Notamacropus eugenii: one gene and its partners. The protein of the gene in region 3 interacts with the protein of the main gene of each other region in a pairwise test. Links are inferred from orthologs where the notes say so. Each region holds a gene or a part of one and is shown on either strand. Other genes may lie near its edges.

Region 1 (7,659 bases), on a different chromosome or scaffold from region 3:
GATGTTACACATGAGGAGTATCAAACAGTTCACTTTGGCTGAGGGGGGTGAGAAGTAATGTGAAATCAGTCTAGAAAGAATGATGGGTTCAAGATAGATTGGAAAAGGCTTAAATGCCAAAAGAGTTTGTATTTTGCCCTGTAGACAATTAAAGAACTACTTAGTACAGTTCTTAGAACACAGTAGGCACTTAAAATGTTTATAAATTACTTAAGGTTCATTGGCCTCTCTGGTCCCACTTTCCCCTTCTGTGAAAATGAATGGGTTGAATGAGATCATCTCAAGTCTTTTCTAGCTCTAAATTTTATCACTCTACAACACATAGCCAAAACGGTGGAAGATAACTCAGTATGAGTTTACTGCTGCCCCTTCCCCATCCCAGTTCCAAATTCCACCCTCTCTCAAAACTGTCCTACTCCCCTCCAAAGCAGGAAAACATCACAAAACAAAACAAAAAAGATATGTTTATTTCTCAACTTTAAGCAAGGATGAATCAACCTTTGCAATCTCCCTCCAGCAAAGGCTAAAATCAAACTAAACAAAATCCAAGATTTCAAGTCTAGGAAGACCCAAGGGACTAAAATTCCAAGTTCAGGGTCAGATGTCAGCAGTAAGATCCTTGGGGGTAGGTAGTCACAGGTCTCCAAAGAGTCTATGATCAGAGATCATAGTTTATATAGTCAGGATCAGAGATCAAGGTTCATGTAAGTCCGTAGATTCCGTTCCCAAGCTCGACTCCTCTCCTCTCGATGTCTCTCTTCTCTCTTGCCCAAAGTGGCAGCTCGAGGTGCTCTTTTTTTTTCAGCCACAGCACGAAGGTCCCCAGCAGGAAAATGTGTGACTCGGGGTTGAGAAGTTGGCCTATATCCCAAACCTTCCTGGTCTCTCTTGAGGATTGTAGGAATGGGAGCAGTGCGCCCCTCTCCCCGGGGTCCCAGTCCCAATCCAGGCTCCCAACCCCCCTTCACTAACAATCGAAAGCCAGGGCTAGAGGCAGGGACTCCTGGAGGCAAGGGGGGTGGCTGAGGCCCATGGGACAGGGATAGGAGGTGAGCAGTAGAGCTGTTGTGATTAGTGTCTCGGTAATGGGAACTACAAGTCTCACAGTATTTTGGCAATGGAGAGCAGGGCCTGGAAAAAAAAAAAGGTAGAAAAGAGTGAAGGTGGGCGTCTTTTCAAGGTCCAGTTCAGTTGCTTCCTCTTCTATGAAGCCTGATACACAACTGCTCATGTTTCTTCCTCTAATTTTCCTAAAGCACTCTGGAGCTCTTTTGTGCCTTTTACTCAACCTAGTAAAACACTTATGCAAGAACTACAATAAACTTAAAGTTGGAAGGAGATTTAGAAGTTATCTAGTCCAACCCCACTCTCTAGTTAACAAATGAGGAACTGAGGCCCAGACAGACAGACTTCCCCCAGTCAGAGGTAGTAAGACAGAGCATCGTATCAGTCCCTGGTAGGCTGTAAGCTCTTCCAGGGAATCTGTGTAGTTTTGCATGTTCAACTTCCAGCATACACAGCGCCTTAGATTTTACTGGCATTGAATAAGTCTTCAAAGACTGTATTACTTTACTGGACAGGAGGCTCAAGGTTGGCTCAGCTCTGGAGTTGAAAAGGGTGACCACACCTTATTAATCCATACTCCTCGGGTATACTTTCTCACCAGTCCTTAGAAACCAGGGCCTTGCTACCATAGAGAACAATCTCAAGGATCCCCAGGTGGAAAGGAGGCTAGGTATTATTGGCCACCGACTCCTTAATGGGGTGGGGTAGGACAGTGTAATAGTGAAGATGACGATAGCTAACATTTGCAAAGTTGACCATGTGCCTGGCACTGTGCTCTAAATCCTTTACAGCTATTACCTCATCTGATCCTCCCAAGAACCTAGGTTAGCAGTAGATGGGGGAAGAGGCTGAGGAGCATCCTCAGATCTGACCCATGGGCTGTCACCTCCAAACTTAAAATCCTATTTGGTAAATAAAGTCCTTGGACAAGGGAGCCCTCGAGTCCCTTTCTAGGTTTCCTACACCGCACTCACCCCCACACCGAGATCCAGTGATAATGCCCACCTTGCCTTCCTCTCACAAGACAATCTTCCAGACCATGGGCTTTCTTTCTGGCCGTGCCCCAGGCCTGGAATGCTCTCCCTCCTCCTCTCCACTTCATGGCTTCAAGTCCCAGATAAAACCTCACTTTCTACAGGCTTTTATCCACCTCCCTTAATGCTAGCGCCTTATCTCTTTCTTATTAATTCCAGCATGAAGCTGTTTGCATGGCTTTCGCCCTTAGCCAGTAAGCTCCAGGCTCGCAGGGAAGGTCACCGAACTTTCTTGGTGACTCGGACCCTTCCCCGTCAGCTGCTAGACTGGGACGGTGGCAGGGGGCTGCCACTCACCGGCTTTGGGGCCTCTCCTCTCCACCGCTCTCTCGGACCATCCGGGCCACCTCGGGGAAGCCGGCCTCTTCGGCCAGCTGGGCAGCATCGCGCCCCCCGGGCTCACAGACGCCCACCCAGGCGGCTCCTCGCGCCAGGAGGTAGCGCACTGCCGGTCCCTGGCCCGCCCGGGCTGCACACATCAGCGGGGTCCACCAGAAAGCGTCCCGGGCGTTGACGTTGACATGGGCCCCGCGGGCCCCCGGGCCTCGGGGCTCCAACAGGGCGCGCAGCTGCCGCACGTCCCCGGCCTGCGCAGCCCGCAGGAGCCGCGCGGTCTGTCGCTCCCGGGTCCCATCGCTCTCGGCGCGGGCCGCAGCCGCTCCCGCCGCGGCCCCGGCCCTCTCCAGCCTAGTTTTCTGCGTCCGTTTTCTGCCTTTGGGGGGCGCCCGCGAGGGTGCCGGGGGCCCTCTGAGGGCGTCTCCCTCCACCCCGACCAGGGCTTCATAGAAGTTCCGGGCGGCTGCACCGTCCAGGGGGAGCTCCGACTCCGGCTGCTGCCGCCCGTCCTTCCAGTGGTCACTCGAGTCCCGGGCCGGGGTGAAGGCGATAAGGGCGGGGCGGGTCATGACTGCTGGGGTGGGGGAACATCAAGCCAGCCGCCCTCAGGAGCAGTTACCGGGCCAGCGTGGAGCGAACGCCAAGTGGGTCATCCTAAAGCTAACCCAGTAAAGGGCGGCAAAGCCCCCCACCGAGACTTGTAAGCGACCGGCAACCAGGAAGTAAGTTCAATGATTACAGGCCTCCTCTCTGGATCCCACCTCTAACTCCCTACGCTCGGTACTCGACTTCAAGTCCCAGTAGCAACCAGCGCCAGGCTGAGACACGGCGCCGGCGCAGAAAACACTCCGGAAGTAGATCACTGAGAAGAGAGTGCGCCTGCGTCAAACTACAGTCTCAGTCTGGAACCAAAGGAACACTTGAAGCGTGCCGCCTTGACAGCACCCGTAAAATAACCTGGCGAGATGGAGGACTGGAGGCCGGAGCGATGCGGAGGTGGTTAAAAAGAGGCAGATAGACACACAGACACATACACACACACGGGATTCTGCGCCCGCGTTCTGTTTATTTTGCTCCTTTTCTCCGCTCCTTAGCCGCCGGTTTGATTCGAATTGCTCGGTAGCTCGAGGCAGGCGCGTGCTCAGAGGCGCGAAGGCCCCCGTGGGGGAAGGGAGGGGCACCGGCCGTTAGGGTTCTTCGTTTGCATAACGCCCCACAATGTGCTTCGTTCCTCTCAGAGTGGCCCCCGAAGCCCATTTCCTGGGGCCAGAGACGGGGTTTCGGTGGAGTCAGCTGCCCAAGGAAGGTGGGCACAGGCCTGCAGGGTGCAGCCAAGTCTAAACGCGAATTAGGGCCAGGCTGCCTCTCACTCTTAGTGCAACCAGCATTTGAGGGCTAGACAAAGAGCCCTGTGCTGCTGCAGGCCAGCCTAGCCCCTAGGAGTGGAGGAGGAGATGGAGAAGGGCAAGGGGACAACTAACAGGATGGCTGGTGCCACCTCAGGTTAGCGGCCCCCTCCCATGACAAGCCCTTTACCCCGGAGGCTGGGGTTAAACCCTTTCACTCCCTAGTACCACCCCACCTCCATTCTCTGGAGAGAAGGGGCAAAAAAGAAACCTGGTCATCCAGTGCTCTGGAGGAGGGTGGACATGAGGACCTGTTTGGTAGAGCTGGCGCAGGGGCTAACTTGGTATGGGGTGATTTGTGGAGAGGTGGGAATAGAGATAGATGGTAAGGGTTAATTGGCAACTTGGAGGAAGAAATAAAAGATAGGGGTAATGAAGGTTGGATAAAGGGAGAGAGGAAGATGAACTATGATGAAGGAAGATGGGATGAAGGAACGCCTTCATACTTTACTGAGAAAATAGAAGCTATCCTTCATGAACTGTTCTTACCTATTCTATAAACCAACCCTCTCAATTATCCCCCATTTTCTTCTTATAAGAAGGCACCCCTTCTCCTTGTCAGTCCTCTCTCAACTTGTACCCCTTCATCTTATCTCTTCCCAGAGCTTGCCCCTCTCTCCTCTTATCCACTGACTCCTTCCCTCTTATCTACAAACATGCTCAAGCCTTCCCCATCCTTGCCTAAACCCTCACTAGCACACCCTCAAACTATCATCCTACATGTATCCTTTTCACAGCCCAACTCCATACCTCTCCCACTACCACAACCAAAACGGGTTTCTCCAAGGTTATTAATAATTTCATTATAAATTATTAATTTTCTTTAAATTATAAATCAAATGGCCTTTTCTCATTCCTCATCTTTTCAGTTTTTGAAACTGTTCATCACCCCCTCTTCCTAAATACTTGCTCTCAACTTAGCTTTTATCACACTACACTCTCCTGGTTTTCAAGCCTGAAGGACCATTCCTCAGTCTCCCTTGCTGGAACATCATAGGTATTCAAACCACTAAGCATGGGTGTTCCCCCTGAGGCTCTGTCTTGGGTCCCCTTCTTTTCTTTCTTTACAGTATTTCTTTATATCAGTTCCCAAAGATTCAATTATCATCTGTATACAGATATCTCTCAAATCTACATATCTAGCCCTAATCTCTCTCCCAGATTTCAAGTTCCAGATCAGTTAGTTCCACAAACACTTGTTAAGCATCTACAGTGTACCAGGCACTGTACTAGGCATTTGGATACAAAGACAAAAACACTGATGAATAAAGTCTATTGACTGGCTGCTGGATATTTCCACCTGGATCTCCAACTCAGCGTATCCAAAATAGAACTCATTTCCCACCATGCAATCAGCACTCATCATGCCTAGCCAGGACTATTGTAATAGCCTCCAAGTTGCTCTTTCTGTTTCCAATGTGTTCCCTTTCCAATCTATCTTTAACATAGAAGCAAAAAAATCTTGCTAAAACACAGATCTGAACAAGGCACTCCCCTAATCAAGAAAGTTCTGTGGCTTACTTTTGCCTCTAAGATAAAAGACAAATTCTTCAATTTAGCTTTTAAAGTCACAATCTAGCTCCAGTTTAGTTCCCCAGATTTATTTCACACTACTCTCCTTCATCCACTCTTGTGTTATAGGCAAACTGACCTATTTACTTTTCTCTGAATTTGGCATTCCATCTCCTGCTTCTGTGATGTGCTGTGCCTTTAAAGATTAAGAATAAACTGAGAAGCATTATGATACATACTCTACCTGTGAGATATGTAGGGGAAAGACTTTCCAACCTCACTTAGGAAAATGTACAGGAAAAATGTGTCTCATCTCTGGAATGTACTCCATCACTTTCATATCTTAGAATTCTTTGAAGGTTCAACTCAGATGCCAACTCCTGCAGGAAGCCTTTCCTAATCCTCCTAGATTTCAGTTTTCTCTCAAATTATCTTGTATTTATGTATATGTACCTCATTGCGGGGTCGAAAAATACCCACATCAATGAGATTGCACAGATCAACTTGGAATACTGGAATACATGTATTCTCCAGTAGTGTTTTTCATAGTGTCTTTTGTAATCCCACACCCATCAGTGCTTTGAATATATAACAGGCGTTTATATAAAAGTTTGTTAAAGTACTGGATGATGAAAAATGATTGAGGAGAATGGGATGATGAAGGCTAGTTAGGGGGATGAGGATTGTGAGAAAAGGGGAGATGACTGGAAATAAGGGTGAGGGATGACAGATAGATGACTGGGGAAGTATGCAGTACATTTAGTATAAACTGAAGAGCTAGACCGTTATTGTAGATACCTTACCTGTGAGACGTATAGGAGAAAGACGGTCCAATTCCAATTTAATCCCAATCTTGTTCGGCTCGCTGATGTGTAGGAGAAAGACTCTCCAAACCTTACCTAGTCTGGGTGTTGCTCTCTGTGGGCACGAGGACTACATTTCCCATGTTCACCAGCGCTAACCTCGATCTCGGGCTCCTGTTTCCAGCATCTTAGAGGAGAGCCTCCAGTCCTTCCTCCTTTGTGGCCCCGCCCCCTGCCCTATTTCACTGAGAGGACAGGGGCAAGGGTGTCTTCCGGAAGTCGTATTATTAGCCCAGCCTTACTACTGTTCAGGGACTCCATATCCCGTCTTCCACGGGGGGAGCCTGACCTCCTGCGCCTGCGCTCTGTGTACTTTCCCGCCCTCCCGTTTCTCTTCCCCCTTCCCCTCCCCCCTACCCCCCCACCGCTTCGCCTGCCGCGGTCGGGTCCGCGGCCTTCGCTGCGCGGCTTTGCTGCTGCCGCCGCCGCCCCTGGGAGCAACTTCTCCCTCTCCCTCCCCAGCCCCGGCCCGGTAGGTGAGTCGTAGGGCGCCCTTCCGCACGTTGGGGGCGGGACCTGAGGACGCCTGGCCTTGGGGAGGGAGAGGTCCTAAGGAAGGGCAGGGGAGGCCAAGGTGGTCCCGGACCCAGGGTGCGCGGAGACGCTGAGGGTCCTCCTCAGAGAAGCCCCAAGCTCCGGAGTCTCGGGGAAAGGGGCTGAGCGGCCCGGGGCGGCCCTCGGAGGGAGCAGCCCAGAGAACCGGGCCTGCGGAAGTTGGCCGGGGCCCGGCCTCCCGGGGGGAGGAGAGGGACCTCTGAGCAGCCGAGGGGGTCGGTAAGGGGGTGTGAGGAGGGAGCCTGATCCAGGCCTGGATCGCCCCCCTCTACTCACACGGGGGGAAGGGGACAGGGAAGGGACAGAGGTTTTCTGAGCCTCGGGAAGAAAAGGCTCAGCTAAGAATATGAGATTTGGGGGCGCGGGGCGGGGGAAAGGCTGCAGAGGAGTTCTCACCTGGATGTGGAGCAAGGCTCCCCATAACTGTGAGCCTGGAGAGGGGAATGGTGAGCCCCCTGCGGAAGGGGGCCCGGGGAAGGCAGAGAATGTCAAAGGGATGGAGAGCCCTGGAGAGAGGCTGGCCTTTCGCCCTCCAGGCTAACCTCTTTTCCCTCAGCTGACGTAAAGATGAGTAGCTCAGAGGAAGTATCATGGATCTCATGGTTCTGTGGGCTTCGAGGCAATGAATTCTTCTGTGAGGTAAGATCTCTAGTCATTAAGGGCTCCCCAGGTTCCCATTTACTAATGACCCTCAGACACAATGTCTTCCATGTGTCCGTTCCTCTCATTTACTCTTCTGGCAGTCCCTCTGTGCTAGCCACTCCAGGCCTTGGTACTGCCCTTCACTCACTGTCATCGTATACCATGGCATTGTGCCCCTGAAGCTTCCCCTTTTTTCAGGAACCCGATGTCCTGCCCTCCCACTATTTAAGGGAGACACTGAATTCA
Region 2 (7,482 bases), on a different chromosome or scaffold from region 3:
GCTCCTCTCCCCTTTCCTTTCCTCCCCTCCCTTCCCCTCCCCTCTCTTCTCCTCTCCTCTCCTTTCCTTTCCTTTCCTTTCCCAAAACCTTAAACCTATTGCACTCTGAAGCCCATAGATTGGACAACACTAGGCCCCTGCCCAAGCTCCATTTAAGGGCTGTTTTCTGGACCCTCCTGGCTTAAGAGTGATTATCAATAGTAACTGTTGCTGTTTCCCTCACAGTCTGATTTAGTTATTTTTTTTTAATTTTTTTTTCTTGCCTCATTAAAGGGACCATCCCCTGACTACTTCTTAAAAGGCCTATTCACTGAATGGGCACTACCTCACCTTAAGCGAGTATCGATTAGGCCTTGGCCTACAGGGGCCAAGGTCTCCCGTTGCCTCCTGGTCCATCTCCAGTCATTTTGATGAATATCTGATGGTCACTGGACCCAGATGGTTCCAGGGAAGAAGTGAGGCTGGTCACCTTGCACAGCCATCCCTCACTCAACCCAAAGTCAAGTACAAATCATGTCATTATTTCTCTGATGTCATAGTCTTCTTTGGTAGGGCAGGACAAACACAACAGGTAGTACTTAATTACAGATGGTGCTGCATGATTCTCTAATGGTTGTGTTAAATCTAGTCTCCCCAGTCAGATCATTAACTCCTTACACATCTTAGCCTTTGCTGGTCTGCCCCACAATGTGAAGTGTATAATAGGTATTCAGTAAATATTTGTTGGGGACAGCTGGGTGGTTCAGTGGATACAACACTGACCTAGAGTCAAGATAGAGTTGATTTCAAATCCAGCCTGAGACACTTACTAGCTGAGTGACCCTGAACAAGTCACTTAACCTCTGTTTGCTTTACTCCACTGGAGAAGGACATTACAAACTACTCTAGTATTTTTGCCAAGAAAATCCCATGGACAATAGGGTCCAAAGGATCATGAAGAGTTGGACATGACTGAACAACAATAACTACTATTTATTAATCAAGTCTTCAAGGTTTCACCACAATTTTAATGGCTAAAACTGTCATTTCTACTTCCTTCTTCCCTGTCCTATTAGCCTTACTCCAGAGCTTTAGTCATAATATTCTTTTAAATGTTCTGAAAACCTTCCTCCACTTCTGCTTCCAAAGGTCATTCTTTCATTCCACAAACATGTATTAAGTACCTACTTTGTGCTCAACAAAGCCCATACCTTACTGTTTTCAAAAAACTCACAACGTAATGAGAGTATATGTTTCAGCCTCAATAGGCTTTTTATAAAATGCTTAGCATAGTGTTGGTACTGGACATACAAAAATAAAAATCAAAGGGGAGAAAAAAATAGGTATACCAAAAGTCAAGGCAATAAATATTTTTTAGTGGGAGGATACTACAAATAACTGGAGGAATCAGAAAAGGCTTCTTTAGGAGAATTTTTTGAGCTGATCCTTGAAGGGAGCCCAGATTCCAAGAAGCAGGAGAAGGGACTGGGGTCTGGTAGGGGAGATGGCAGTTATGAAGCCACCATATGCCACCTATGGGAAACAGCAAACAGACTATTCTCACAGAATAGGTGGTCCAGTGACCCACCAAGCCACCACCCACCGAGACTAGATTCCAGAATTGTTGTATGGTCTTCCATCTGTGGGCTGGTCCGGAAACCGCTCTGGCCCCAGAGAACGACTGATAGTTTGTAACCCACCTTCCCACAGGATTTATGTATATACTCTCAGCCTTCACTTCTGCGAGGTAGAATTCGGATCGGGAGAATTCCCCATTTGCAAGTTTGTTTCTCATTATGAAACTAATTAACCTTGGACCTGACTACTGAACCAGTTTCGGGTCTGCTGTTTTGTCATTCTCAGGTTAGAGGCTGGCTCAGCAAAATCCTATTAGCATTAACTTGAAAGAATATTCCACTATATTTACATGCAACAATTTGATCAGCTTTTTCGTCTAGTTACCTATTACGGACATTTTCCTCGGATCTAGCCTAGCTCTGAGCATTCTTTATAAAACTGGATCAAAACAAGCATTCAGACACTAAAAATAATGAACAGGACAGGCACCCAGGAAGGTGTATTTTTCTAGGGAGGAGAGAAAGTGTTGGGAAAATTGTTCTATTAGAAAAAACAAAACAGAAAAACAAAACAACTTACATTTTCTAGGAGACAAACAGCGGCAGGGTTCCCCCGGAACGCTTCCCCTGTAAAAGCATCTACTACAAAAACAGGGAGCCGCATCTTCCTGCTTCTTTATAAAACTGTCAAACCTGCGGAGTGAGGAGGGTGTTTATAAAACCAAAATGTTAACGATTTACTGGTGGCACGAGAGGGACCTTGGCCCAGAGACTGAAGGACAGAGAACATTTACATAACTTAGCCGTCCAGAACAGTTTTCTTTTTCACCTCTAAGGCAGGCTGCCTGCGCTACACGACAGTTTTCTCCCAGACACCCACAGTCTCACGTCTGAACGGCCTTTAAGGGAGGGAGCAGACAATCCCAGGGGCAGCGGAGGCTTTGGGGGCGGGCACCGCCGCAGAGCCCGGGGCTGCGGGGGAGGGGTGAGAGGTCTCCCGGATCGCGGGTCAGGTTCGGCAGCGCGCAGCTCCACGTGGTTTCAGCCGAGGACGGGGGGCGTGGCTCCGACTTTCTCCGACGCGGCTCCTCGGTACATCCCCCGTTTCTTGCCTGCAGCTCTTGTCGCTATGGGAGGTTTGCTTCGCAGTACCGAACTGAGACCCAAGCGAGGAATTTCCATAGCAAATCGTAAACAACGAACGGAGGAATGAAGCATTGATTAACGTGCAAAGGGCTGCGCTCTCTGAGTGCAATATAATGAGCCAGTACAAACGTTTCGAGAGGCTTGCCTGATATGTCTCTGCGTGGACAACAGGCAGACTGGCTGGGACGAGTCTTCCTTTGCCTTTACTCGGGCCCGCTCCCTTTCGCCTTTTGCTTTGGGAGAAAGTGAAAGAGGCGGGGAACCCATGGCAACAAGGACTCCATGTGGGCAAGAGAGAAGACTACATTTCCCATGAAACCCTAGCGGAGATTGGAGAATTCCCAGAGGGCGCTGCTGTCGGAAGCTGGTCTCTGATTGGCGAATAGAACTAGAGAGAGGCTCTGATTGGTGGGGAGAGCGGCGGGGACCGGGCTTGCGGTGAGAGATGCAGCGTGGAGGAAGTGACTTCCCGGCACGCCGGCGCTCTTGAGCCAGTAGTGCCGGGGCCGCCGGCTCCGGTGCAGTCCTCGGCCGAGGGTGGCTTCCTGCCCGGGTCATGAGGTACCTCGGCCCCTGCCTGCCTCGGACTGCGCTGCTGTCGCGCGGCCGGCCGCTTCCCTGGAGCTCCCCGCGGGCCTGGCTGGGCGCCGCGTGCCCAGAGAAGGCGGCTGCTGCGCCGGCGGCGCCTGCGCCTGCGCCGGAGGACTGGGGTCCGGAGCCGGGCTCGTGGCCTGAGCGGCTCGCGGACCTGGTGACTCCGCTGTGGCGGCTGGACTACGAGCAGCAGCTTCGGGTGAAGGCGGAGACTCTGCGCGGCCTCCTGGAGCGCCTCGAGGCTCGCCTGCGTTCGCTTGGGAGCCCGGACGCCGAGGCCGGGAGCCTTTGCTCGCGTCTGCAGCCCTTCCGGCCGTCCCCGGTCATCGACGGCTACCGAAACAAGTGCAACTTCGCCATCCGCCAGGGCCCCGACGGCCGGCCCCGGACCGTGGGCTACGTGCTGGGCTCTCGGCGGGAGCAGCAGCTGGTGTGCGTGCAGCCCGGGCACCTGAAGCACATCCCCGACAAGCACCAACGCGTGGCCCGCTGCTACCAGGCCTTCCTGGAGCAGAGCCCGCTCGAGCCCTACCTGGAGCCACACGGCAGCGGACACTGGCACGAGCTCACGGTCCGGAGCACCGGCCGCGGCCACACCATGGCGATCATCGCCTTCCATCCGCAGCAGCTGCGGCCCGACCAGCTCCGGCCTCACCAGGAGCAGGTCAAGGAGTTTTTCACCCACGGCCCCGGGGCCGCTTGTGACTTGACCTCCCTTTACTTCCAGGAGAATGTCCAGGGCGGCCAGCAGCCGCCCCGCTACCAGCTCCTGGCTGGAGAGCCTCACATTTTCGAAGACCTCCCGGGCCTGAAATTCCGAATCTCTCCCGGTGCTTTTTTCCAGATTAATTCGGCTGCTGTCGAGGTTCTCTACAGGGTGGTGGGAGAGCTGAGCGGGGTGGACCCCAATACTCTTCTCCTTGACCTTAGCCAAGGAACTGGGGCCACCAGCCTCTCCCTGGCCCAGCGCACAGCTCAGGTCCTGAGCACGGGGTTGGTGGGGCAGGCGGTAGAGGATGCCAGATGGACCGCAGCATTTAATGGAATCACCAACTGGGAATTCCATGCTGACCAGGTCGAGAATATAGTGCCGCAGCTTTTAAAATCACAGGAGACTGGTCAGTCGCTTGTGGCCATGGTGGACCCTTCCCGGACTGGACTGAACAGCCAGGTGGTCCAGGCTATTCGGAATTGCAGAGCCATCAAGACGCTGATTTTTGTTTCCTGCTACCCCAGTGGGAAGGCCAAAAGAAACTTCCTTGAGTTGTGCTGTCCCCCAGACCCTAACAAGGATCTCCAGGGTGAGCCTTTTGTCTTGAGACAAGCAGTGCCAGTGGACATGTTCCCACACACTGTGCACTATGAGTTGGTGCTCCTCTTCACTAGGTGACTGACTGACCTCCGGAGCCCCCAATGTCGGGACTCTGCACGCTCTCTCCTTTAAGGACTGAGTATTAAATGGTGCCTGGTGTGCCAGACCCTGGACTGACCATTTCAGAAGCTAGGTATGGATCAGCTTCTGTTCCATCCATAGTTGAAGGGACTTCCTGGCTGAATTTCCAAGTCCTCCTAGCTTGCATAAATCAATGCACTGCTTTGTGCAAAGCAGGCCTTTCATATGTTGTGATGGTTGACTGAGAGAAAAGAAAGATTTGAAATGAGGGAGAAACCCACCACTGCAGTGGTGGGTTCTGGGAACCAGAGAGTAGTGGCAGCAAGAGTTTGGGCCTGTTGAGCAAACTGCTGTTAAATCTGGAGTCAAGTGGAGCCAGGGAAGGAGACAGCTTAACAGCTGTAGAGCTGTAGCCACTAGCAGAACCCTGCCCTGAGTTCAAGGTGCCTTCGCTGAAGTTTCCATTCCCCTATTCTTGGCTGTAGAAAAATAATAGCCTAAGCTTACCAGGTTGTTTTTGTTCAGTTGTTTCAAACTCTACCCCATTTGGGGTTTTCTTGGTAAAGATACTGGAGGGGTTTGCCATTTCCTTCTCCAGCTCATTTTACAGATGAGGAACTGAGGCAGACAGGTCACACAGCTAGTAAGGGTTTAAGCTGGATCTGAACTCGGGAAGAGGAGTCTTCATGACTTCAGGCCCAGCACCACTAGCTGCCCCTTACTAAATAGAACTGAGTTCAAGCCATGAAGATGTTCAGTACTTAAACTTCTCTGAGAGGGGAAAAGAAATGGCAGTACTTACAAAGAACATTGGTTGTGATTCAGTTCTGTTACTTTATTTTTATTCTTGCCCTTAATAAAAATTATATTGTTTCCATTGTTTTCTTATTCAGTAAGCATTGAGGATCTGCCATATGCTGAACACCACCCAATTTGGGGAATACAGAACAATTCAAAGGACTTTACATTCCATTGTGGCACAACCATGTGTACACATTGGGAAATGCAAGATGTATATGAGTAATTTCTGGGGGAAAGGACACTTAACAGTTAGAGGTGATGAAGACAGGGTTCATGGAGAAGGTGGTACTTGAGCCCAACTTTGAAAGGACCTTTAAGGGGGACAGCCTTTGCAGAGAGAACATGAGGAGGTCAGTTTGGATGGAATGTGTGAAGGAGAATCACCTATAATAATGTTGGAAAGGTTATCTAGAACCAGCTGGGAAGAGCTTGGAAGGCCAAATAAGTGTTTTATCCTAGAATGAATTTTTGGGAAAGCATTTTTTAAGCACATATGATGTGCCAAGCCATTGTGCTATTGATAATGGAGGCACAGGGAAACTTCTTGGTTGGTCAGACCCATAGTTTACGAATAGTCTTTTCACACATGGAAGATTGAAGTGGAAAGATATTTGAGGTAGGGTGACTAATGAAGTTATTGTTGTGTAAGCGAGAGGTAACAGGGATCTGAATGATTAGAGGGTAATGAAACAAGGTTATAGGTTTAGGTTTCTTATAGGAGAACTAAGTACTATATTAGAGTGAGTGAAGACCATTGATGTTGGAGGCTCATAAAAATTTCAAGGAAAAAATGTCAAAAATATCTACGTATATATAAGAATAGAAATGTTAAATACTATATTTCTATAGAAATATGCTATATATCACTATAGAAATGTTAAAAGAAAAAATTTTAACTTTTCATAATTTCCATGTTAACCATCCTCTGTCCATTTTAATAAGCTCCTTTTCAAGGTGTGGAAGGCACTGTTCTAAAAATCCTTCCTTAGGCACCTCAGCAATGGAGAGCTTAACCCTGAATATGGTCATTTTAAAAAGGTTTTCTGTGCAGCAAAAATAGCTAAATGCCACTCTCTCATTCATGCTTCAAAAATGCATAGGTTCTATTTTTACTTTGAAAGGAAACTTCCATAAAATTCAATTTTAAAATTATATTTGATGTGAAAATTTCAGTAAAATTCTAACTCCATAAATTTTCTATGCACCTTTTTTTCCTTAAAGGCATAATAACATTTTATTGTAATTTCTGCTGCTGAGTTAGAACTAAGGAAAGAAGCAGTTTTTACTTTTCCATAATCAAATAATATTTTAGTTCTGCACAACATATTGTCAAATTATGTTTTAACACAGGAAAAAAATTACTCAGCTGCTTTTTTTCTCCAATGTTTATCTCAATGTATGGTAATATTACTGAAATTTTATTCTAACATTTCTCCCTGCAAATTTAAAATTTTTTTCTGATCACTTAGTTGGAAATTTCATTCACTCTGAAAATGTCTGAACAGATGATTTTCCATCTATCACCTAGAGGTGATAAACAGCTACTGGAGTTGATTGAATGGGAAGTGGTGTGGTCAGAGCTGTGCTTTAAAAGGTTCAGTTTGACAGCTGAGTGATAGGTAGACTAGAATGAAGAGGGATTTGAGACAAAGAGACCAGTCATTCTGAACATAAACTCTTGATACAGTGCTAATTCTGTAATAATATTTAGCTTGGATTGAAAATTGCTCAGGTACATTCTGCAATGCTCAATGAAGCTTGTCATCACATGTATATACAATATTTAAATTATGCTTTTGAATCAAGTTATTCTGTTGATGAATACCATTGTCCATCCTTTTCAAAACATGGGTGGATTTTTCCTGTGATATGAAATCGACATGAAAAAAGTAAGTAATACCAACAGATGTCTACTGGAATTTATAGGATCGGAGAATGAGAGTTGGAATTTAGAGGTCATCTAATGCAACTAATTTCACAAATGAGAAAACA
Region 3 (6,758 bases):
GCTGAATTCTTGCTTCAACTTTAGTTCCAAACCAAGCATAGAGAAGATAGGCAGAACTAGCCACTAACTCAGGCCCAATATTGACGTGTGCATGCAGGTCACGGCCTTGATCAGGGAGGATAAAGGGTGGTGAATCAGCATTACAGGCTAAAGTCTGGAATGGATTATCTAGTAATCAAGTGACACAAGATATGGCAGGTGCTTTGCAATCACTGCAAAGTTGTGTCTAAAGCACTGTTTTAAAAGCAGTGATTTAAATATTAGCCCTGTTATCTAGTTCAACCCCAAATGTTAGCTATTTTTACTGTTAGAAAGCTAAATCCTAGCGAAGTGACTTGCTCAAAGTTGAGTTGTAAAAGGCAAAGCCAGGATTCAAATTCAGGTTTTCTGGAGCTTTTTTTCACTACACACACTTCCCCTGAGTCTACGTGGCTCTCTGCTCTGGGCCCTGCCTCATACAGAGTATAATGGAGAGTCAGACCTGCCCCCAGGACCAGTCAGCAAGGAAGGGAGATGACGCCTCTTTATTATTAAGGTCAACATCAAGGAAAGCACTAAGAAAAAAGAGTACACAGGAGCAGGGGATAGGTCACACAGATTCAGTACTTGTAAGGGCAGGGAAAGCAGCACATCATTTACAGAACCCCAGGACAACCACATGCTCCATGCCCTGAAGAGGTTGGGGGGAAGCGTCAGGATAGTCTGGGGCTCAACAAGGGGTCTGAGGCCCTCTGAACCAGATACGTGAGCCACAAACCCTGCCCTTTGGGGCTCACACACTACAACACAATACACACATATAACACAACACAGGACATCATGGAGGCAAACACAGAGTGGCTGGCTACAAGAGGGGAAATTTTAGCAAGGAAAGGAACTGGAGGTAAGCAAGTCTGGCCAGGAGAGATCTTGGCTGTGGTACCCAAGAGTACCTCAGGAGCACCCCAAGACTGTTGTTGCTGAGCATCCCTGTGGTCTCCAGGTTCCCAAGTCTCTGCCCGGGCTCTGGGGGTAAATGTTCCTAAAAGCCCAATGATATGCTATCCCAGATGAAGTCATAACAAAACAGGATCTTCTCGGCATGCAATATCCTAATAGTTGAGCTAACAAATCTTCATGCACATTGAGAGCCTTTGCCTTTTAGCCCAGATGCCTCTGGAACCCCTTCATTCACACTCTCTGGGCTGCATGCAGTCATTCCTCAAGCTTCCTGAACCAACAAGAAGGTGTAGAGATCTCTATCCTGGGGGAAGGGGCTTGGACAGCAGCACTGAGTGTCAATGGGTCTCAGCAGACGGGTGTTTCTTGCGGCCAAAACAAAAGCCTCAGTTCCTTAATCTCTATATACATCTCTAGGGATTTAATTTACCTCAGTCCTAAGGAGTACATCTTCAGAATATAAAAAGAATTTTATTTACACAATTCAGGGGCTCTTGTGTTGGCAAGGGGCAAGGGGAGGGTTAGGATGGGTGGGTGTCCAGAGGTGAGATGCCCCATGGTTTCCTCCCTGTTAGCCTCTTTGTCAGTCTGTTAGGCAGAAAGAATCCAGGATGATCCCATTCATTACAAGTTCCTCTTTAGAGGAGTCTCTGCCCAGCATCCCATAGCAGACACCCAAGTGAAGCATGCTGCACCGAGTTGTCCAGTTCCCTCATCCTCATGCACCAAAAACCCCGAACCGTGCCTCGGAGGTACTGCCCCCCGCTGGAGCCTCCTTACATTGAGTTCTCCCCCTCCATCTCCAGATGCAGCAGGGCTACGTCAGGCAGGTCGTGGGCATCCCCGAGCGGCCCGTCCCCCTCCAGCAGGCGAGCACAGGGCTTCTCCGGGCTCTCACAGTGGCTAGTGGGTGTGGCCGGCCCGGGAACCTCCTTCCCTTCCTCCTCGCCATCCTGCGAGCCGCGGCCCCACTCCTCGGGAGGGGGGGTGTTGGGAGCTGCCGGCGAGCCCCGCTCGCTTCCCTCCGGGCCGCCGGCCGCGCCCAGGCCCTGGCGGGGCGCGGTGGTCATGATCTGGCACATGGAGACGATGGCCCGCTGGTTGGCGCACACGTCGTCGGAAAGCACCTGGATGTGCGAGGCCTGCTCGTCCAGGGCCCCCCGCATGGCCCGCACGTCCTCAAACAGGGCCTGCAGCTGGGCCTTCAGGTGCTCCATCAGGTCCTTCATGCCGCCGTTGTACTCGCCCGAGATCACGTCCCCCACAGCGGGCACCGAGGACACCTCCAGGGGGCCCGGGAGGTCACCGTCCTTGGTCAGGATCTCCAGCGGTCCGTCCTCCATTGACTCTCGGAAGCGGCGGCTGCGGCGGCCGCAGGTCCGACCCGGCCCCCCCGGGCTGGGGGCAGCGAGGGGAGCAGGGGGCCCACGGGCGGAGGGTCCCGGGAGGCGAGGGGCGAGCGGGGAGCGAGCGAGTACCTGGGACGGGGGCCCTCGGACTTGGCCCCCGGCAACCCTGGGAGATTCACCGGCCTAGCGCCGGCAGCCGCGAACGCGAAGCCCACGCTCCTGGCCTCCTCTCAGGAACGCGCCCGGCAGCTCCGGGGCGGGAGCCGAGGCCCGGTCCGGCTCTGGGTCCGAGGGCTACCTCTACGCCGCCATTAACTGGCAGCGGCCGCGGGAGAGAGGCGGAGAGGGGCGGGTCTCCCGGCCGCGCCTCGGATGCTCCTCCGTTTCCAAGGCGACGCACGGCACGTAGATGACGTGAGTCTCCATGGCAACTAGGAAAGGAGGACCAGAGAGAGGAGGGGGGAAAGATAGGCGTGGAGGGGCTGGGGGGAGGGAGGCAGACCCAAGGTGATGGTGGAGGACCGCCGTCGGCCCCCGCAGTCAGAGTCTCAGCCCTTGAGGGAGGGGTCGTTGACCCTCAGGCCTGGGGGGGGGGGGGGGGGGGGGTCAAGAAAGCGAATAGGCAGGATTCTTGTTCATCGGAGGACAGTGAGACTGCAGTTTGCAGCTTAAAACTGCACAGCCAAAGAGCAGTGGTGCCCCTTGAGAATGATGGAGAGAGACAGAGACAGAGACAGACACAGAGAGAGACAGAGACAGAGAGACGGAGAGACAGAGACAGAGAGAGGAGAGAGAGACAGACAGAGAGAAAGAGAGACAGAAACAGAGAGATACAGAGAGAGGGAGAGGGAGAGACAGACAGACAGAGAGACAGAAACAGAGAGACGGGAGAGAGAGAGAGAGAGAGAGAGAGAGAGAGAGAGAGAGAGAGAGAGAGAGAGAGAGAGAGAGAGAGAGAGAGAGAGAGAGAGGATTCCCTGGGTTCCCTGCAACTTCTGAAAATACACACACGCATTAATGGCACCCCTTGAGAATTACCCTGGGAAAATACACAAACGTTTCCCTTGGGAATCACCCCCGGCTAGATTTCTTTCTCAGGCTAACTGGAGCTGGGGCTCATGCTCCACTCTCCTCTCTTCCAGTCCCTGGGGACTTCTGAAGCTCCCAAAGTACCCTGTGGATAGGGACACCCCTTCCAAAAGCAAGGGAGAGATTGCTGTTCGTCTGGTGCTGCTGTGCAGACCACTGGCAGTAAGCACAGAAACTGAGAATGGTTAGGAACGTATAATCCAATCTTTCCAAAAAACCTAGAAAAGTATTTTGCCCTTATTAGGCCTTTCATAAATGTTCTTTCCTTGTCTCTTCCAGTCCTTTGGAAAGAAAGGAAGCAGAGATGTAGCTAGAAATAAAATAACCTATACTTCTTAGCAACCCCATGGATAGGAACAGCCCTTCATTTGTTAAATGAACCTAGTCATCTATATCATCACTTACTTCTTCAATAAGAATGATACACAACCCTAGATCAGGTCACTGGGAGCAATAGGTTATGTGACTGAACATAGCTAGGTTTTTTAATATCCTAAAGGAAAGACCAGCATACCAAGGAAAATTTCCTGTCCCATTTCCTTACTGAGAATTACCTGTTCCTTAAATCTCTGCTCTCTTTAGTTCACTACTGAATAATAGTCATGACGGTAATATTTCATATTTTCATTGCTCCTTAAAATTTCCAGAATATGTGCTTACCCTCCCTGATGGCAGTTAGTCAATCTCCTTTTAAAAATGTGGCTCCCAGGACTAAAATGATATTCTACGTTTGGTATTTTACTCTTCTGTGTTAGACTGATTGCCTATTATACCACCAAGGTCTTACTCAAGGTCACAAAACCTGTTAACTCAAGAATTCAATTCCATTAATTTGTCACTAATGGTTCAAAGTCAGTGTAGCTGGAGGTCTACACTGGAAAAGTACAGGAATCTGTTGTGGCTCTGTGCTGTTTGCTTATGACATAAAGCTGGGAGTGATTACGAACACACTGAATCAGAAGTCAGGATCTAAAACTATTTTGACAGGCTAGAACACTGAGCTAAATCTAACACGATGAAATTCAGTGGGGATACAATGTAACTATTTATACTTGTGCACAAAAAAATCAACTTCACGAGCATAAAATAGTGGAGGCACAATTGGATAGTAGTTTGTTGAAGCATAAGGGAGTTTTAGTGGACTGAAGCTCAATAAAAATCAGTAAAGTGATGTAGCAAAAAGGAGCTAATGTGGTCTTGGACTGCATGAAGAGGGGCACAGCTTTCAAGAGCACTGCAGTCTTTTCCTGTCAGAAGTCAACCAGAGTATTGTGTTCAGTTCTTGGTACCTCAGTTTAAGAGGGCCATTGAAAAGCTGTAGAGCAGTTCTTCCTCACAGTCATCAGGTTGGCAAATTTGACAAAAGAAGAAAATGAAAAATGTTGGTAGATGTTAGGGATGGATTTGACATCAGCTCCCTGTTCAGGTTTGATAGTGGGAAGAAATAAGGCACTCCTAAGTCATTGAACAGTTAACAAAAGGAGCTTTACTCCACCTTAACATAGCCATGATAAAGTCTTTTTTAAAAAGTTAATTTATTTTTAATTTTCAACATTCACTTCCATAAGTTTTAAATTTTCTCCCCTTACCTTCCCAAGAGGGCATGCAATTGAATATAGGCTCTACATATACATTGCTATTAAACACATTTTCACATTAGTCATGTTGCACAGAAGAATCATAATGAAAGGAAGAAACCATGAGAAAGAAAAAACAATACAAAAAAGAAAATAGTCTGCTTTGCTCTGCATTCTGACTCCATAGTTCTTTCTCTGGATGTGGATGGCATTTTCCATCATGAGTCCTTTGGAAATGTTTTAGGTCCTTACATTACTGAGAAGAGCTAAGTCTATCCAAGTCAATTATCACACAATGTGGCTGTTACTGTTCTCCTGGTTCTGCTCACTTCACTCAGCATCAGTTCATATGCCTTTCCATATATTTCTGAAGTCTGCCTATTCCTCATTTCTTACAGCACAATAGTATTCCATTATATTCATATACCACAACTTGTTCAGCCACTCCTCAATTGACGAGCATTCCCTCAGTTTCCAGTTCTTGGAAAGAGCTGCTGTAAATATTTTTGTACATGTGAGTCCTTTTCCCATTTTTATGATCTCTTTGGGATACAGACCTAGTGATGGCATTGCTGGGTCAAAGAGTATGCTCATTTTTATAGCCTTTTGGGCATAGTTCCAAATAGTTCTCCATAATGGTTGGATCAGCTCACAGCTCCATCAACAATGAATTAATGATAGCAATGATGAAGTCTTAAACAAGGAACAGTAACTTATTACTACCATTATGTAACTACCATTATGGTGTGTATGGGTGTTCAAGAAGGACTAGCAGCTCTGGCATGAGAGCTTGCCAAGTCCTTTGCAGGGCTTCTCATTCACTTTTGGTGTCCACCTGATACTCAACTACACCTGTGGCTCCAAGAATCTGTAGTATGCATATCTGTCACACCCAAGTAAAGCATGGCAGATGGGCTAAACCAGGTTGAGGAGCCTCAAATCCAGCAGTGAGTTAGGAGAGTGTCTACCCCAAGCACCTGAAGAATTCCCCTGAATGAATGGGCAAATGCCAACAATTTGTTCCAATGACCATGAAGGTGGCTGAAGCAGGAGCTGTGGAGCACTTAAGAGTTTGGTCAGATGTTAAAGATGCCAAAGTCATCCACTGCATCTGGGCCATCGCCAATCTTCCTGACTTTTGTCTTGTCACTGGGCATCCCTAACTGGGAGAGAGAGTGAAGCTGACATCTTTATACAACTCTGCCTCACTTAAATCCAATACATGCAGGAGTCAAGACATCATCCTGAAATATCATTGGTCCTCTTTGGAAATGCAGGATAAATAATAACTAGAATTATGCTCTACCAGAAGTTTACTACCTAAGACATCAAAAGATGAAGCATTTCATAGGAATACTGAATCAGCATTTCATCTTTGACTTGGGTATTCATGGTATCTTTCTAGGTCCATGTCTTTTGGCCAGCTGGGCTAGGTGTTGGACTTCTATCAGTGGTTATCTCCAAAGCATAAACTTTCCTGCTGCCACCCATGCCCTGCCAAAAGATTCATAAGCTCCTTACCTTGGTAACATCTCTCATATGCCTCTTCTCCTTTGACACTGCCATCACCCTGATAGAGGCCCTCAGCATCTCACACCTAAACTATTGCAAGAGCCTGCTGGTTGATCTGTCTGCCTCAAGTCTCTCCCCACTACAATCCATCCTCTGTGCATCAGTCAAAGTGAACTTCCTAAAATGCAAGTCTAATAATGTTTACCCCACCACTCATTAAACTCCAGTGGCTCCTTGTCACCTGAGGGATCAAATATAAAGCCCTCTGTTGAAAGGCATCCAAAGCCCTGCA

Evidence for each region.
Region 1: the proteins of CCDC184 (region 3) and GPANK1 interact in binary tests that used the Homo sapiens proteins (3 or more experiments, as listed by UniProt). The two-hybrid records come from large-scale screens. The link is inferred for Notamacropus eugenii from reciprocal best matches to the Homo sapiens genes CCDC184 and GPANK1.
Region 2: the proteins of CCDC184 (region 3) and PBLD interact in binary tests that used the Homo sapiens proteins (3 or more experiments, as listed by UniProt). The two-hybrid records come from large-scale screens. The link is inferred for Notamacropus eugenii from reciprocal best matches to the Homo sapiens genes CCDC184 and PBLD.

What each region holds. Positions count from the first base shown.
Region 1 is NC_092873.1:85,320,782-85,328,440, forward strand, and holds GPANK1 (G patch domain and ankyrin repeat-containing protein 1), read right to left. Parts: upstream 3,005-7,659; coding exon 2,397-3,004; intron 1,132-2,396; coding exon 687-1,131; 3' UTR 449-686; downstream 1-448. Other genes in the region: CSNK2B (casein kinase II subunit beta), read left to right, coding at 3,654-3,741, 7,328-7,410.
Region 2 is NC_092872.1:260,695,631-260,703,112, reverse strand, and holds the start of PBLD (phenazine biosynthesis-like domain-containing protein), read right to left. Parts: upstream 3,005-7,482; 5' UTR 2,386-3,004; exon of another isoform or gene 2,250-2,385; 5' UTR 2,221-2,249; coding exon 2,137-2,220; intron 1-2,136.
Region 3 is NC_092874.1:220,041,089-220,047,846, reverse strand, and holds CCDC184 (coiled-coil domain-containing protein 184), read right to left. Parts: upstream 2,681-6,758; 5' UTR 2,283-2,680; coding exon 1,716-2,282; 3' UTR 506-1,715; downstream 1-505.